Ovis aries: one gene and its partner. The main gene of each other region encodes a partner of the protein of the gene in region 2 in a complex. Links are inferred from orthologs where the notes say so. Each region holds a gene or a part of one and is shown on either strand. Other genes may lie near its edges.

Region 1 (7,694 bases), on a different chromosome or scaffold from region 2:
GCTCTGAACTTTTTGTCTGCTTTTCTCCAGCAAGCTTAATATATTTTCCCCAAATTTCCACATTCCACATCATCAGAGCTTTCATCTTGTCTCAAAAGGAAAAAAAATTTTTTAATGCCAATTAAAAGCCAAAATCAACTATTTGCAGCTTCAACTTTCAAATGTCAGTTTGTTTTTACCCAATTCAAGTAAATTTATATAGTGTAATTCTAAACTCCACTATTTGACATTTCCTGCTGAAGAAAATCATAAGAAACTCTCTGTGTTGCTTTTGGAAGCAAGCGCCTCCTATCTGTGGTCAGGGACAGGCAGGGCCCAGGCTGTTCCTTAAACTGGCGGGGGCGGGGCGGGAGGGGGGACGGGGCTGGGGGGGGGGCGGGGGGACGGGGCTGGGGGGGCGGGGGGACGGGCTGGGGGTTGCCTTACTACTGTGCTTTAGCATCCTATCTCCAGGTGTCACCTGCTGTTTCTCTGCAGCTGAATGTTCTGGAGCATGGCTATCACTGAACAGGATTCCAGCAGGAGAGAGGTGACATTCTGTGTTCCACATGCCACAAAGGGAATTCCCATCAGGAGAAAGGAACGAAATTCATTTTTAAAAGACCAAGTAACAGTTGAGTCTTTGCATTTTTGAAAACTCGAGATCATTTTCTGCTGAATCAGCCAATCTTTCTGAAGCCTCAGAATTTCTGATTCCTATGCAGTTTAGCTTTTCTAAAACAAAAAATGCGAAGGAAGTGTTTTGTTTTGGTATAATAAAGAGATTCTAAACAGACCAGTTTAAAAGAAAAAAGACAATGGGGTTTTGACTACAGCCTAGTGGCTCTGCCTAGAATTCTTGGTGAAAATACCGAACTTGCCAAAAATTAGGGGTGGGGCTGGGGTGGGGGGGGTGGGAGATTCTATCTTTCTAATTAGAATGCGGTTGCTAAACTAAGCTAGAGAGAACAGAAGAGACATAGGGTCCTGCCATACACAGATGCTGCTAGTTATTTTTGTTTCACGACAAGAGTTGTTTGTAAACAGATAATTACCAACTACCACCACCACCGCATCCTCCTCCCCTCACTCCCAACCCAATAAAAAAGGCCTGGCCTCAAACGAGCTTTTAGCTCTACCTCTCCTTCGTATCCGTATCCTATCGTCCCCGTATCCTCAATAACTTTAGTTTTCTAGCCGGAGAGGGAGAAGGGAGAGGCGAGAGGAAAAGGAGGAGAGAGAGAGACAGACGTCTGCTGCCACCCTCCTGGCTAACTGAAATGCTTGTTCCCGAGATTACAGTAATTACAGCCCCAGCGTGAGTTCCATACAAGCGCTAAATGAAACAGCACATCAATTAAAAAATAAACACTCCATTCTCGGAGAAAGACAACCCCCTGGGACGTCCTAACAAGCGTAAATGAACCTGCCAGGCCTCCCGCCCCTCGGGCCCCTCCCCGTCTAAGGTAGCTACGAGCTGGCGGGGGCCTCGCTCCTTGGCCGCGTCCCCAGCCGCTCGGCCCCGGGAACACCGCGGAGACGTGTCCGCGCGTTCGCGCCAGGGCCCGGCGCCGCCTCCCACCGGGAGGAGGAGGCTCTGGCAAAAACATGTCAACTTTGGAGAGACGCACATACGTTCCAAAAGCGCGAGGCTAAGAGGGAGAATCCAGCCACAGAGTTTCCAGTCTGTCCTATAAGTTTTTCTTTCTCCCTTTCTATTTTTCTTTTTTAAAGAAGAAAGGGAATTATATCTCTTAAGGGAGCGCTTTAAATATGTCCGGATGCTTTATATATCTTATCTAGCCTAATTAGCAGAACCCCCTTTGAGATCTGAACCCCACTCTGCAGGTAAAGAAACTGACGCTGCCTCACGTCCCTCAGCTGAGGCAAGAGGAGACCCCTTTCTTCCCGCCCGCCCGGGTGCACACGCCTCTCGCGCCCGCGCCCTTGCGCTCCCGGGTACCTCTTCCCCGGCTGTCCCCTGTCCAGCCCCATCATCTAGAAATAAACTGCAGTCATGGCACTCCTCTCACATCGCCAAGCTTCCAAGACCATCGTTCTGACAATCCCAAGAAGGGCACCGCTTCCCCGTTCCCCCGCAAAGCCCCCGCGCACGCGTCGGCTGGCTGAGGGGCGCGGAGTCCCCTCGCCAGCAGGTTGCCCACATTCGGGGAGCGTAGGAAGCAGGGGCTTGACTAGTTCGAAACTGGCCTCTGAAAGCGCGCTGTATAAAGAATCCCTCAGTTCCCAAGCGCAGACTCGGGGTGAAGGAACCCCGACCTCAGCCCCACAGGGCGCCTCGGGGACGATCGTGGCAAAACCCGTCTCTGCGGTCAACCCCAAGGTTATCCAAACTCCAGCCGCAGACAGCTCGCACAGCCGAGGGGACAGCCGGGTCCGCCCCAGGAAGGCGGGGCCTGGGGAGCGCGCAGACTCCGCCCCGAGCCCGGGATTGGCGCGCCGGCCGCGGGCGGAGACCGAGTCCGCGCCGTATAAATATTCATGAGCCGGCCTGGGCGTAGCGGGGCCGGAGCGGGAAGTTGGCGAGGGACACTGCTCCCGCCGAGGAGGTGGCGGTGGCGGCGGCGGCGGCGGCGGCGGCGGCGGCGGCGGCGGTGGCGGGGCGCGGGCGCGCCGCTCAGGTGTCTGCTCCGCCTTCCGGCCTGGATTTGCCTCCGTGAGTTCAGCGAGAAGGGGACCACCGACACCTTGCCCCAGTGCCGGCAGGAGCGCGACTTCCACCGGAGGCGGGGCCCGTCATCCCGGCTGCTGACCGACGGACGGACGCCGGGGACTGAGGGCCGTGGCCTCGGTGGAGGCGGGCCTCTAACCCCGGCAGCAGCCGCGCGGCCCTGGGGGCGAGCATGAGCCCCGGGACGCCGAAAGGGGGCTGCAGGGGCTGACCCGGCTCTGAGCGGCCTGGCCCAGCCATCTTGACTGCGCACCGCGGCCCGAGAAGAAACTTGCTGCGCCTCCGCCCTCAGTGCCCGGCAGAGTCACCGGCGCGCGCGGAGAAAGAGACCGAGGGAGGGAGAGATGAGCTGGGGGCTGGCCGCTCTGTCCCGCGAGGGCTGAGCCCGGCGGGAGTGAGCGGGGCAGACGCTGGGACCACGGTGCCCTTCGGCGGCCACCCTCGTCTCCCGCAGCGCCGAGAGGAAGCATCCCGATAAGGGACTAGGCTATTGGCAGAACCCCTCCCGAGAGAGGCAGGAGAGAGCCCGGCGCTCTCGCAGGAGCCCCTGGCGCCCCTCCGCGCGCCGCCCGGAGGGCGAAGGCGAGGGGCCGAGGCGCGCAGCATGGAGTGGGGTTACCTGTTGGAAGTGACCTCTTTGCTGGCCGCCCTGGCGCTGCTGCAGCGCTCGAGCGGTGCGGCGGCCGCCTCAGCCAAGGAACTGGCGTGCCAGGAGATCACCGTGCCGCTGTGCAAGGGCATCGGCTACAACTACACCTATATGCCCAACCAGTTCAACCACGACACGCAGGACGAGGCGGGCCTGGAGGTGCACCAGTTCTGGCCGCTGGTGGAGATCCAGTGCTCGCCCGACCTCAAGTTCTTCCTGTGCAGCATGTACACGCCCATCTGCCTAGAGGACTACAAGAAGCCCCTGCCTCCCTGCCGCTCGGTGTGCGAGCGCGCCAAGGCCGGCTGCGCGCCCCTCATGCGCCAGTACGGCTTCGCCTGGCCTGACCGCATGCGCTGCGACCGGCTGCCCGAGCAGGGCAACCCCGACACGCTGTGCATGGACTACAACCGCACCGACCTCACCACGGCCGCGCCCAGCCCGCCGCGCCGCCCCCCGCCGCCGCCCCCCGGTGAGCAGCCGCCCTCCGGCAGCGGCCACGGCCGCCCACCCGGGGCCCGGCCCCCGTCCCGCGGCAGGGGCGGCGGCGGGGACGCGGCTGCGCCCCCTGCGCGCGGCGGCGGCGGTGGCGGCGGTGGCGGCGGCGGGAAGGCGCGGCCCCCTGGCGGCGGCGCGGCGCCCTGCGAGCCGGGATGCCAGTGCCGCGCGCCCATGGTGAGCGTGTCCAGCGAGCGGCACCCTCTCTACAACCGCGTCAAGACGGGCCAGATCGCCAACTGCGCGTTGCCTTGCCACAACCCGTTCTTCAGCCAGGACGAGCGCGCCTTCACCGTCTTCTGGATAGGCCTGTGGTCTGTACTATGCTTCGTGTCCACCTTCGCCACCGTCTCCACCTTCCTCATCGACATGGAGCGCTTCAAGTACCCGGAGCGGCCCATCATATTCCTCTCGGCCTGCTACCTTTTCGTGTCTGTCGGCTACCTGGTGCGCCTGGTGGCGGGCCACGAGAAGGTGGCGTGCAGCGGCGGCGCTGGGACTGCTGGCGGGGCCGGGGGCGCGGGGGGCGCGGCGGCAGGCGCGGGTGCGGCGGGAGCCGGCGCCGGGGGCCCGGGTGGGCGCGGCGAGTATGAGGAGCTGGGCGCCGTGGAGCAGCACGTGCGCTACGAGACCACTGGCCCGGCGCTGTGCACCGTGGTCTTCCTGCTCGTCTACTTCTTCGGCATGGCCAGCTCCATCTGGTGGGTGATCCTGTCGCTCACGTGGTTCCTGGCGGCGGGCATGAAATGGGGCAATGAGGCCATCGCCGGCTACTCGCAGTACTTCCACCTGGCCGCGTGGCTCGTGCCCAGCGTCAAGTCTATCGCCGTGCTGGCGCTCAGCTCGGTGGACGGCGACCCGGTGGCAGGCATCTGCTACGTAGGCAATCAGAGCCTGGACAACTTGCGCGGCTTCGTGCTGGCGCCGCTGGTCATCTACCTCTTCATCGGCACCATGTTCCTGCTGGCCGGCTTCGTGTCGCTCTTCCGCATCCGCTCGGTCATCAAGCAGCAGGGTGGCCCCACCAAGACGCACAAGCTGGAGAAGCTCATGATCCGCCTGGGCCTCTTCACCGTGCTCTACACCGTGCCCGCCGCCGTTGTGGTCGCCTGCCTCTTCTACGAGCAGCACAACCGCCCGCGCTGGGAGGCCACGCACAACTGCCCGTGCCTGCGGGATCTACAGCCCGACCAGGCGCGCCGGCCCGACTACGCGGTCTTCATGCTCAAGTACTTCATGTGCCTGGTAGTGGGCATCACCTCGGGCGTGTGGGTCTGGTCCGGCAAGACGCTCGAGTCGTGGCGCGCGCTGTGCACCCGCTGCTGCTGGGCCAGCAAGGGCGCGGGCGCGGCGGGCGCGGGTGCGGCGGGCGGCGGCCCGGGGGGCGGGGGTCCGGGGGCTGGCGGGGGCGGGGGACCGGGAGCCGGCGGGGCGGGCTCCCTCTACAGCGACGTCAGCACCGGCCTGACGTGGCGATCTGGCACGGCCAGCTCGGTGTCTTATCCAAAGCAGATGCCATTGTCCCAGGTCTGAGCGGAGGGGAGGGTGCGCCCGCGAGGTGTAGGGAGGGGGCGAGGGGACAGAGTGCTGCGGGGGGTGGGGGGCTGGGAGGAGGACACTCGAAAGCAAAGGTTTCCACCCCTTCACCGTGTTGATTGCTATTAGCATCATAATGAACTCTTAATGGTATCCATTAGCTGGGACTCACTTAGAACAAAGTACCTGGCATTGAAGGCTCCCAGACCCCACCCCCCTTTCCTCTACCGACGGGCGAGGAGTTTCTCCCGCCAGGCGTTCATTTCTGTTGGCAGGGCAGAGGAGGGTGAGCCCCGCGGCTGCGTTTCTGAGACCCAAGGGTTGGAGCCCTCGCTGGTTGCCATTTGCTGAGCTTGAAGCCAGACCTACAGATTTCACCTGAGGGACCTAAGTTTTCTCCCTCGATTCTGCTACGTAAACTCTTAACTCCTAACACGTCCTAGAGGCGGGATGAGCGCGACCTAACGGGATTGCACGGTTTGGGTATTCTTAATGACCAGGCAAATGCCTTAAGTAAACAAACAAGAAATGTCTTAATTATACACCCCAAGTAAATACGGGTTTCTTACATTAGAGGATGTATTTATAAATATAATTATTTGTTAAATTGTAAAAATGTGTAAAATATGTACATACCCAAAGATATACAGTCTGTACATTTTCTGTAAAAAGTTTAGAGGCCACCCCTGTAAGAACAAATATAAGTATTCTATTTTGTCAATAAAATGACTTTTGATAAATGATTTAACCGTCGCCCTCTCCCCCTGCCTCTTCTAAACTGTTACCTTGAACGTGCTTGTGGAGGGCCCCTCCGAAACAGGGACGTTTTCTGGTTTCTCATTATGTACACTGACCTTAGGCATGAAGAAAAATGACCTGTTAAACTCGAGTTCCTAAGTTGTCAGCAAAGTAAATATAACTGTTAAACTGAAATCAAAATGGAGGTTTTTGCACCTTTCCGAAAAGATGGTATTTTTAATGATAGCTCTTTTCTGATCCATGGATACCACTCACCTTAGTCGATGTAAATGGAACTTTTGCAAGGCGCAATTCCACTCTGGCCTTGTTATTTATCTTGTATAATATCACTAAAGGCTTCAAACCCCACACTCATTTCTCGCGTCGTCCGTGATTTTGAAAGCACCTGCTCCTCCAGGACCTAACACACTGCTGAAGGGTAGAGGTTAATGTTTTCAGCCATCAATCACACTGTACAGTGTAAGTCACTCGACAATCCGGTGGTGGAACAGGCGCTCTTTAATGGATTAAACTAACGGGTTAACATCTTAATAACCTTCCAGGCTTGTGTATATCAAATGTGCTGCTTTTCCTAGAGAAAAAAGCTATTGTTCCTCTGTCAAGACTAAGCTAATTTATTTGAGCAGAAGGCTGTTGAATTAGCAGAAGAATGCTTTGGCAATTGTTGAACTTTTTACCTGTCTGCCCAGTGGCTCAGCACATCATTCCTTTAAGAGGAGCCAAATGAATAGGGTTAATCTGTAGGGAACTTGGTCCTTTGAGTTGGAAAAACTTTGATCTTTTCTCCTCTCCAAATGTGCTGTATAGTCTGAAGTTTCTTTCCCTGCGGCCGGCTCCTCTTCGTGCAGACCAATTGGCCACCGCGGAGCCTTAAAGTTCTTCCATGAAAGGGATGTGGGACTTTTACTTTAAAAAGGAGAGAGAGCCAGGGAGAGGAAGACTTGTAACAGTTAGTGAAGACCAGAGGCACAAGTGCCCGCAGCCTTTTAAACAGCTTTTCCCGGCATTGTTAGCCAGCCTGCAGGCAGCTAGGCATGAGTTGAAGCTTTATAGAAAAGGGTTCTGAATGCCCTACAGGTGGTCTGTGCACATAATCCCCCAATTTCAAGCGTTTTCCTTTGCTGGACAATTGCATTACAAAACTCCCTTCTTTTTCGCTCCTAATTGAACCAATGAACTATTATAAACTACAAGTTTTTCTTAAAAAAAACCTTCAGTGCCTAAATTCTATTGACTGAATTCTGGCAAGTTTTCTGAACCGAACCTTTTCAAACACCGGAAGTAAATGCTTCTTCAACTGACATTTCTCTTTTTCAGATATTTTTATTCCCCATGCTTGTTATTTTCTGACAGATTAGCAATAATTTAAAAGTAATTGGTAAGGTTGTGTGTTCCTGCTGAAAAGATAGCCCCAGGACCCTTATTAACCTGTCAATCAAGATAAGAAATGGGTAGCTACCCTGCTAATGATGAGGGGCATCAAACGTTTTGGGGTGGGTGGGGACCTCTGCAGCCTGCAAAGAAGTTTGTTCTCTTTTCCTAATAGGAATATTTAGTGGTTCAAAATTTTTTCTTTTAATG
Region 2 (7,731 bases):
CACGTTCTCCAGTTGCTTCTTACATTAGTGAAGAGTCTAAAAATGACTGCCCTTGTGAGGCTGGAATCCTGCAGAATCAAACAGTGATTCAATCTCATTGTTCTTCGCAAACAGCTTTCCTCGAAGCTCTGATCAGAGTCAGGCAACCTAGGCTCTCCGATGCTTTGAGACCTGGGGCACAGTCCCGTCCCCCACAGGTGGTCTCTGGTGACCCTTAGACTGAGAGTTGTGAGAGTCCCTTAGACTGCAAGGAGATCAAACCAGTCAAGCCTAAACGAAATTAACCCTGAATATTCACTGGAAGGACTGATGCTGAAGCTGAAGGTCCAATACTTTGGCCACCTGATGCAAAGAACTGACTCATTAGAAAGGACTCTGATGCTGGGAAAGACTGGAGACAGGAGGAGAAGGGGTGACAGAGGATGAGATGGTTGGATGGCATCACCGACTCAATGGACATGAGTTTGAGCAAACTGCAGGAGATGGTGGAGGACACGGAAGCCTGGAGTCCCACCGGCAGTCTACGGTGTTGCAGAGAGTGGGACATGACCGAGTGACTGAATAAGCAGAGCCCCTAGGGTGGGCCACCCTGGGGCCCCTTCTCCTCCTTCCCACAATCAGCGCCTTTGGGGAGTCCCATTAGCTCTTCCTAAAGCACCCGGAATCCAGCTCCTTGTGAGCCCCCTGCCCCCACCTATCCAAGCTGCCATCTCTCCTGGGTGCAACTGTGGTGCCCGCTGCTGGCCAGTCCCCAGCATCTTCTCTTTCATCCTAACAGTCCTGCCCCTACTCAGCAGCCAGAGTGATCCTTCTATAAATATAAATCAGGTCTTCTCAGTTCACTCAGTCATTCAACAAACATTTATTGAGCACCTACTGTGTCAGGCCCTGGTGTAGGCTCTGGGGATACACGTGGAGTAAAGCAAGTGAAAGTGTATTCTTGTGGAGGGAAGAAAGATAAGGAAACAGTAGTCTGTCAGATGTTGGTCAGTGAAAAGGAGAAAAATTAGGCAGAGAAACGGAGCAGGAAGTGCTGGCAAGGGTGGGCAGTGCAAGGGGTGTGGTGTGCAATCTCCAAGCAGGGTCAGGGAGAGTCTGGCTGAGGAGCTGAAGATGTGAGGGAGTAAGCTATGTGGGTAACAGGGGTAAAAACAGCTCCAGCACAGAGGCTTCCCTGGGTGTCCAGTGGTTAAGAATCTGCACTCCAAGGCAGGAGGCCTGGGTTCAATCTCTGGTCAGGGAACTCCTCCCCCATCCTGCAACTAAGAGTTCACGCAGTGCAACTAAAGATCCCACATGTCACAGAGCAGTTAAGACCCTTGTGAACTAAGTCACTTCACCGTCTCCAACTCTGTGCGACCCCATGGACTGGAGCCCGCGAGGCTCCTCTGTCCATAGGATTCTCCAGGCAAGAATGCTGGAGTGGGTTGCCATGCCCTCCTCCAGGGATCTTCCCGACCCAGAGACTGAAGCTGCGTCTCCTGCCTTGGCAGGCAGATTCTTCTGCCGCTCCCTGTTGGTAGCTCAGACAGCCCTACTTCCCAGGCATTGCAGCCCAACACCCTCATTCTTCACGGCATTCCTGAGTCTGTTAGTGGTGTTTTGGTTTGTTTGCTTTGGTTTTAAATGTATCTATCTTCTTGTTTTTGTTTGTCTTCTTCCCTAGAATATAAACCCTAGGGGACAGAGACATTCTGCCTGAGCACCAGCTTTGTAAAGTTGTCACAAATACAGGAAGAATGCCTGTATCCATGGGCGGGGCTGTTCTGGTGAGTTGTCCATCCTTGTCTCAGCACCTGCAAGGTAAGTGTTCTCACTGTTTTATAAGGGGAGGAATTCCAACGACCCCCCCCCAAGAGGTTATATTTGGACCTGCCCAAGGGCACACCCCTGGGCTTCCCTGATGGCTCAGAGAGGGTAAAGAATCTGTCTGTGATGCAGGAGACTCAGGTTTGATCCATGGGGCAGGAAGATCCTGTGGACAAGGAAATGGCAACCCACTCCAGTATTCTTGCCTGGGAAATCCCAAGGACAGAGGAGCTTGGTGGGCTACAGTCCAGGGAATCATCAAGAGTAGGCCACGACTGAAGCACACACTTTCAACAAGGGCACACCTTGTAGGAAGCAGCAGAACCAGAGTTTGAATTTGGGCCTATGGGTTCCAGAGTTTGTGCTGCTCCTCGCCAGGCCTTCCTGTGCCTCCAAGGGTTCAGTAGCCGAACTTGATGCTCAGGTGGGCAGGGGACGGGGGTGGGGGCTGGGGAAGGGTGGTTCAGAGCCTGCTTGTTGAATGATCAAAGGTGAGGTCTGCATCCTAGAGGCCGCCTACAAGCATATTTGGAAAAACAACGTGTCTACCGCTCAGTCTTCCGTACCCTAGTTAATGTCGAGGGTATACGTTCAGTTTAAAAGTCAACCTCAAACCTACCCCGATTCCCCTGCAGTTTCCACCTCTCGCCATCACCTGCTTCTGTCCCTGTCCCGGCCCCGCCTGGCGGTCGCCTTCCCGGGCCCCCTCCCCGGTGAGAACAGGTGTCGGGGGCCCGCCCCGAGGAGGACCCTGCTGGGGTGGCTGCGGTCGCCGGAAAGCGCGCGCACCTGGCTCGGGGCCCCTGGCTTCCAGCCCTGAAACTGCCTGAGCGCGCGTGCCCTGGGGCAACCCCTTTCGCACACCCCGGTCCCGTGCCTCAGTTTCCCCACCGGGAGAGCTCGGTCCTGGCCGCTCTTAACAGGTGACACACCTGTTTCCGGGGCTCGATCTGGCCCCAGGCCCCGCGGGGTGCAAACCGGGCGCCCGCCCCCGCGCCCCCGCGGAGCCCCGGCGCCCGGCCCCCAGGGGCAGGGGGCGCGGGCAGAGGCGCCGGGACCCCGCGCGCGGCGGTCGCCTCGCGGCGGGCCGGCTCCGGGGGGCGCCCGCAGGAGGGCGCGGCCGGCGCGGGGGGCGCGGAGGGCGGCGGCGGCGGCGGCGGCGGGGGGCGGAGACGCGGCTCGGCTTCCGCTCCCGCGCCTCCTCCCTCCTCCCCCGTCGTCCTGGCCCGCGGCGCCCGAGGGGGGAGGCGGCAGGCGCCCGGAGCCGCGCGAGGAGCCCGGCAGCCGCGCCATGGAGCCCGAGTGAGCGCGGCGCGGGCCCGTCCGGCTCCGGACAACATGGAGGCGGCGCCGCCCCGGTCTCCCGCTCCTCCGCCGCCGCCGCTGCTGCTGCTGCTCGCGCTCTGCTGCAGCCTGGCCCCCGCCGCGGGTAGGTGGGCGCGGGCCGGGGGGACAATGGCCCGGGCGTCCGGGCGACTCGGTTGGCCCCGCGGCCAAGTGCGCCGCGCCGCCGCCGAAGCGACTTTGCAAGTTGGGGGCGAGTTGGGGCGCGCGCCGCGGGGCCCCGCCGCCCCCCGCCGCGCCCGCCTCCCGGGGGCCGCGCGCGGGCCCTTTGTCTCGCCCGCCCGGGCCCCTCCCGGGGACGCCGGGCCCCGTCCCGCGCGTCCCGGGCCGGCGAGCAGGGCGTGCGGGCGCCGCCGACCCCGCCAGGTGCGGCGCGGGCGGGTTCTCACCTGCCCGGGCCCCGAGGCGCGCTCGGAAGTGCGCTCGCCCGGAGCCGGCCGGGCGAGGCCGTGCGGGCACTGCGGGGACCCCGGCCCCGCGGGCAGGCACGGAGCGGGGACGTTCGGCCCGGAGGCAGGCCTGGCCGCCCTGCGTCGGGAACTCTTTTCCCGAGCCTGTTTCCGATGGCCGCGCGGCCGGCCTGCGAGCTCCGGGAACTGATTTAAGTCGCAGAGAAAGTTCTGAACCCCGCGCGGGGCGGCCTGGCCTGCGGCGCTGCCCCTTTCGTCTGCGTCGCTGTCGTTTTCCCAGCGGACTCACACCTGCCAGGTGTGCCCGGTCGACTCGGACCCCCCGTCTGGGCCGCTGGGGCCCCCAAATCGTGACACCCGGCGGGTGTCTACCTCCGGGGGGGCCTGGCTGCGTGGGGCCGCCGCGCGGGGTGACGGGGTCCCAGCCTGCGGCGTGGGGGCCTTGGCTGTATACACACACCCCCTTTGGGAGATCAGAGCCTGGGGACCTTTCTTTCCAACTGTTGGTGTCTCCCAAGGGGTGGAGTTGAGGTCAGGAGGACTCAGGAAACGAAGCGCCTTGTGAAAAGCTACACATGTTCTTTTAATTTGGAGATTGCCATGTGGTTTTTGAAGCAAGCCTCTCTCGCTACCTAAACCATTCTCTTCCGACGTGAGTGTTTTGTTTTTCTGGAGTGTGGCTGGCCCAGTGGACCCCGGAGCGGGAGTCCTCTGCGCCCTGGGCTGCTCTTCTGCTGGTGGCAGTTGGGGGTGGGGGGCCTTGGGTCCCTTTGTCTGGGCCTCTTTAAGGCAAACAGCTGTCTCCCTGAATATTTCCAGCGAGGACACTGCAGGGAGGTGTCCTGGCCTGGCTCTATGGTCACATTCCCGGGGCTGCGGCCCCTCCGCTGAGGTTTGGGGGGGCGAGAAGGGGTAATTCCTCAAGTCCTCTTGCCTCCCAGACCGGATCCCCGGAGACCCTTGGCAGTTTCAGGCTGAATTCGCCTCTCTCAGGAGTGTTTACATTCTTGGCCCCATCTGATACCAGCAAAAAAACAATGACAGTATCTGGGTAGTTCAGGCCGACACTACTGCTTCTCTTTCCGGAAATGCCTGGATCACGGAGGCAAAAGGGTTTTTTTGTTGGGGGGGAAGATGTTTGTTTTAAAGGTGGGGTTTCTCTGCCAGCAGAGTAGCTTTTCACTGCGTTGCAGTTTCGGATTTCCTGGACCTTGGGGTGGTGGTGTTGCTGGACTGGAGTGCCTGTCCTGCGGTTCGAGCCCCCAAGGAGAAGGATCACATTTGTGGAGCTCGGTTGTGTAGGAGGCAAAAAATAGAGTTGATTATTTTAACATTAAGGAAGCATGTCAACACGAGGTTTTTAGAGCCCTGGCTAATGTGGTAATCTGGTCCTAAAATGGAAGGAGAGGGAGGGAACTTTCTGCAGAAACTATTTTGACTGCTCTTGACATGTCATGTCCCTGATTTCTGTGTTAGATTTATGCCACAGTCCAGAGTGGAGCTAGTAAGTTGGTAGCTAATTATTTTTCCTGATTGCTTCCTGTTGCAATATGAAGGGGTGAGCCCAAGGAAATGCCTTTGTTGGAGTGATCCTAGAGCTGGGAGTGGTCGGCCCCAGCTCCAGGGCCCGGGGTCTCTCCCTTTTGGCCCCACTGCACTGGCCCCAGGACCACCCCCAGGGGAGGGAGTGGGGTGCTGCCTGCAGATGCTCACTGCCTGGCCTGCAGGTGAGCATTGAGTTAACTAAGTGCTATGGGGAGTCCATGGAGAGGCTGCCGGCAGGACCCTCTGCTTCCCAAAGCGGGGGCCCACATGCCTGTAACCCTCCTGTGCAGTTCCAAGAATTTACCCAGTTCACCCGCGCGTCCCAGCATTTGCTGTGGCCATGCCGTTGTATTTGGAACCCGTTTAATTTCAGCTGCACTGTGTCACTGCTCAGGCATTTAGCAGAATTTGCTCACGGGGTGGTGGTGGGGGCTGTAGTTAGGTGAGGACTTCCTGTCCTGCCACGTGTGCTTGCCAGGGCTAAGGTCGGGGGCCCCGGGGGTCAGACCCCTTGGGTCTAGAGCAAGGGTCCCCAACCTCCGGGATCTAATACCTGTTAATCTGAGGTGGAGTTGATGCAATAATAATAATGGAAATAAAATGCCCAGTAAATGTAAAGCATTTGAATCATCCCCAAACCATACCTTTCCCCCACCCCCCAGGTCTGTGGAAAGATTGTCTTCCATGCTATCGGTTTCTGGTACCAAAGAGGTTGGGGCCACTGGTCTAGAAGCTCAGTAGCTATTTGACTTTGGACAACTTACTTCGCTTCTGTGTATCCCGTGTCCTCACCTGCTTCCTCCCCCTGCTCAGGAGTGTAAAATACCGCCTGTGAAACCCTCTGCACGTCCCTGGCTGGGGGAGGAACTGTTGGTGGCAGAGCTGTGGTGCCTGTTGGATAATAAGGTTCTTGATCTTTCTGGCCTGGAAGGTCTAGAAGCTCTTATCACACAGTCTGGATTTTCCTCCTGTGTGGGACCTTGAACATCCCGTCCACTGTCTGACTTGTTTTTTGTGGCAGACTGGGTGAAGGGTATTGTGGTGGTGAACTGGGCTGAGCCTTGACTGTGGGGGGCGCTTGGGCAGCTGACTCCACCTTCGTGCGTCTCAGTCTTCTCTTCTGTAAAATGGGCGTAACGGAACTTCCTCCCGGTAGGTCAGCGCGTTGACACATGCCTGGCACTTGTATCATCTCTTTTATTGATGCTGTTACTGTTGGTACCTGCTGAAGCGCTGGGGATAGGATGGGGTAGAATGGTGGAGGAGGCCCGGGCCTTTGCTGTCAGGCTGTCTGGTTGACAGGGAGGCAAACAGCAGCTGACTGTGCAGCTCTCGGGGAGGTGGGCTCCGTCCCAGGACCCTGTCCATAGAGACCCGGTGGTCTCTGCTGAAAGAGGCCAGATCACGCTGCAGAGTCTGGATGTGGTCCAGAAGGCACTGGAAGCTTCCGGAGACTTTAGCTGGGGGAGGGAGATAGGAAACGCAGGGGAAAGGTGTTGAATTGATCTTTTTTTTTTTTTCTCTTTTGTTAAATTGAGGTGAAAATCATGTCACATAAAACTAATCATTTTAAAGGAGACAATTCCATGGTACATTCGCAGTGCTGTACAAGCATCCCTTCTGTCAAGATGCAAAACATTTCCGTCGGCCCAGAATAAAACCCTGCACCCTTTAAACTTCCCATCCCCCTACCCCAGGTCTCTCTGGCATTGCTTGCTCTGGATACTTCATCTGCAGGGACTCACAGGCTGGGCTGCCTGTTGCCTCTGGCTTCACGATTAGCAGAATGCTCTCGTGAGGTGTCCATGTTGCAGCGCGGGACAGCACTTTGCTCCTTGCATAGCGTGGACAGGGCACATCTGCTCATCCGTCCACCCGCTGATGGGCTGACCTTGCGTGGGTGCTTCTCCCAGCAGGCACGGGCTTGGAGCCCATTGTCCCTGTGGGGTTTGGACAGCGGAGGCTGTTTAAAGCTGGGCTGGGGACATGACCACATTAGCTTCAGAGATGGGAGAGGCCATGGTGAAGGAAGCTTGGCTGGGGGACAGACTGAGGGCCAGTGCTGGCCTCTGGTGGGGTGAGGGACCCTGGGAGGTGGACCTGGTAGACTTCGATATCACAGAAGCCCTGGTAGGAGCTGGACATCTGTGGCTTACAAGGCCTCTGGGATGGCCACACGCTCTCAGAATGGGGGGGCTCTGATGGGAGTGGGGGCTGCATCCAGCCCCTTCCTCTGCTGGGCCCGGGACATTTTTGTGCAGGAAGCAGTGGGCTGTCCACCCTGCGGGCGCCCCGGAGACACTGCGGTCAGAGCGCTGCTGATGTGGAGGCCGGTGGGGACAGCAGGGACCCAGAGAGCGGGCCCCAGGGCCCCTCTGCTGCTATGGGCTGCTGTCTGCTTTTTCTCCAGCTTGGGAAGTGGTTTGTTAACTCTGGGACTCAGTTTCCTTATCTGCAAAATGGGGAGGATGGCATGTGTTTTTTGGGGGTTCTACGAGGAGGAAGCCGCCTTTTAGAGGGTCTGTCATGGGAAGGGCATGGTGTGGGGGGAGTCCCATTTCTTTTTGTTAAGCTGTTTTTGTTTGTTAACATAGTGAAAACTTTTATATTTAGAATTAGCCAG

Evidence for each region. The genes of interacting proteins can lie anywhere in the genome.
Region 1: LRP5 (region 2) and FZD8 share a complex: the UniProt entries of both Homo sapiens proteins name them as parts of the wnt-signaling complex. The link is inferred for Ovis aries from reciprocal best matches to the Homo sapiens genes LRP5 and FZD8.

Annotation. Positions count from the first base shown.
Region 1 is NC_056066.1:26,149,905-26,157,598, reverse strand, and holds FZD8 (frizzled-8), read left to right. Parts: upstream 1-2,499; 5' UTR 2,500-3,275; coding exon 3,276-5,351; 3' UTR 5,352-6,097; downstream 6,098-7,694. UniProt on the Homo sapiens protein: Receptor for Wnt proteins. Component of the Wnt-Fzd-LRP5-LRP6 complex that triggers beta-catenin signaling through inducing aggregation of receptor-ligand complexes into ribosome-sized signalosomes.
Region 2 is NC_056074.1:42,193,249-42,200,979, forward strand, and holds the start of LRP5 (low-density lipoprotein receptor-related protein 5), read left to right. Parts: upstream 1-3,061; 5' UTR 3,062-3,147; coding exon 3,148-3,238; intron 3,239-7,731. UniProt on the Homo sapiens protein: Acts as a coreceptor with members of the frizzled family of seven-transmembrane spanning receptors to transduce signal by Wnt proteins.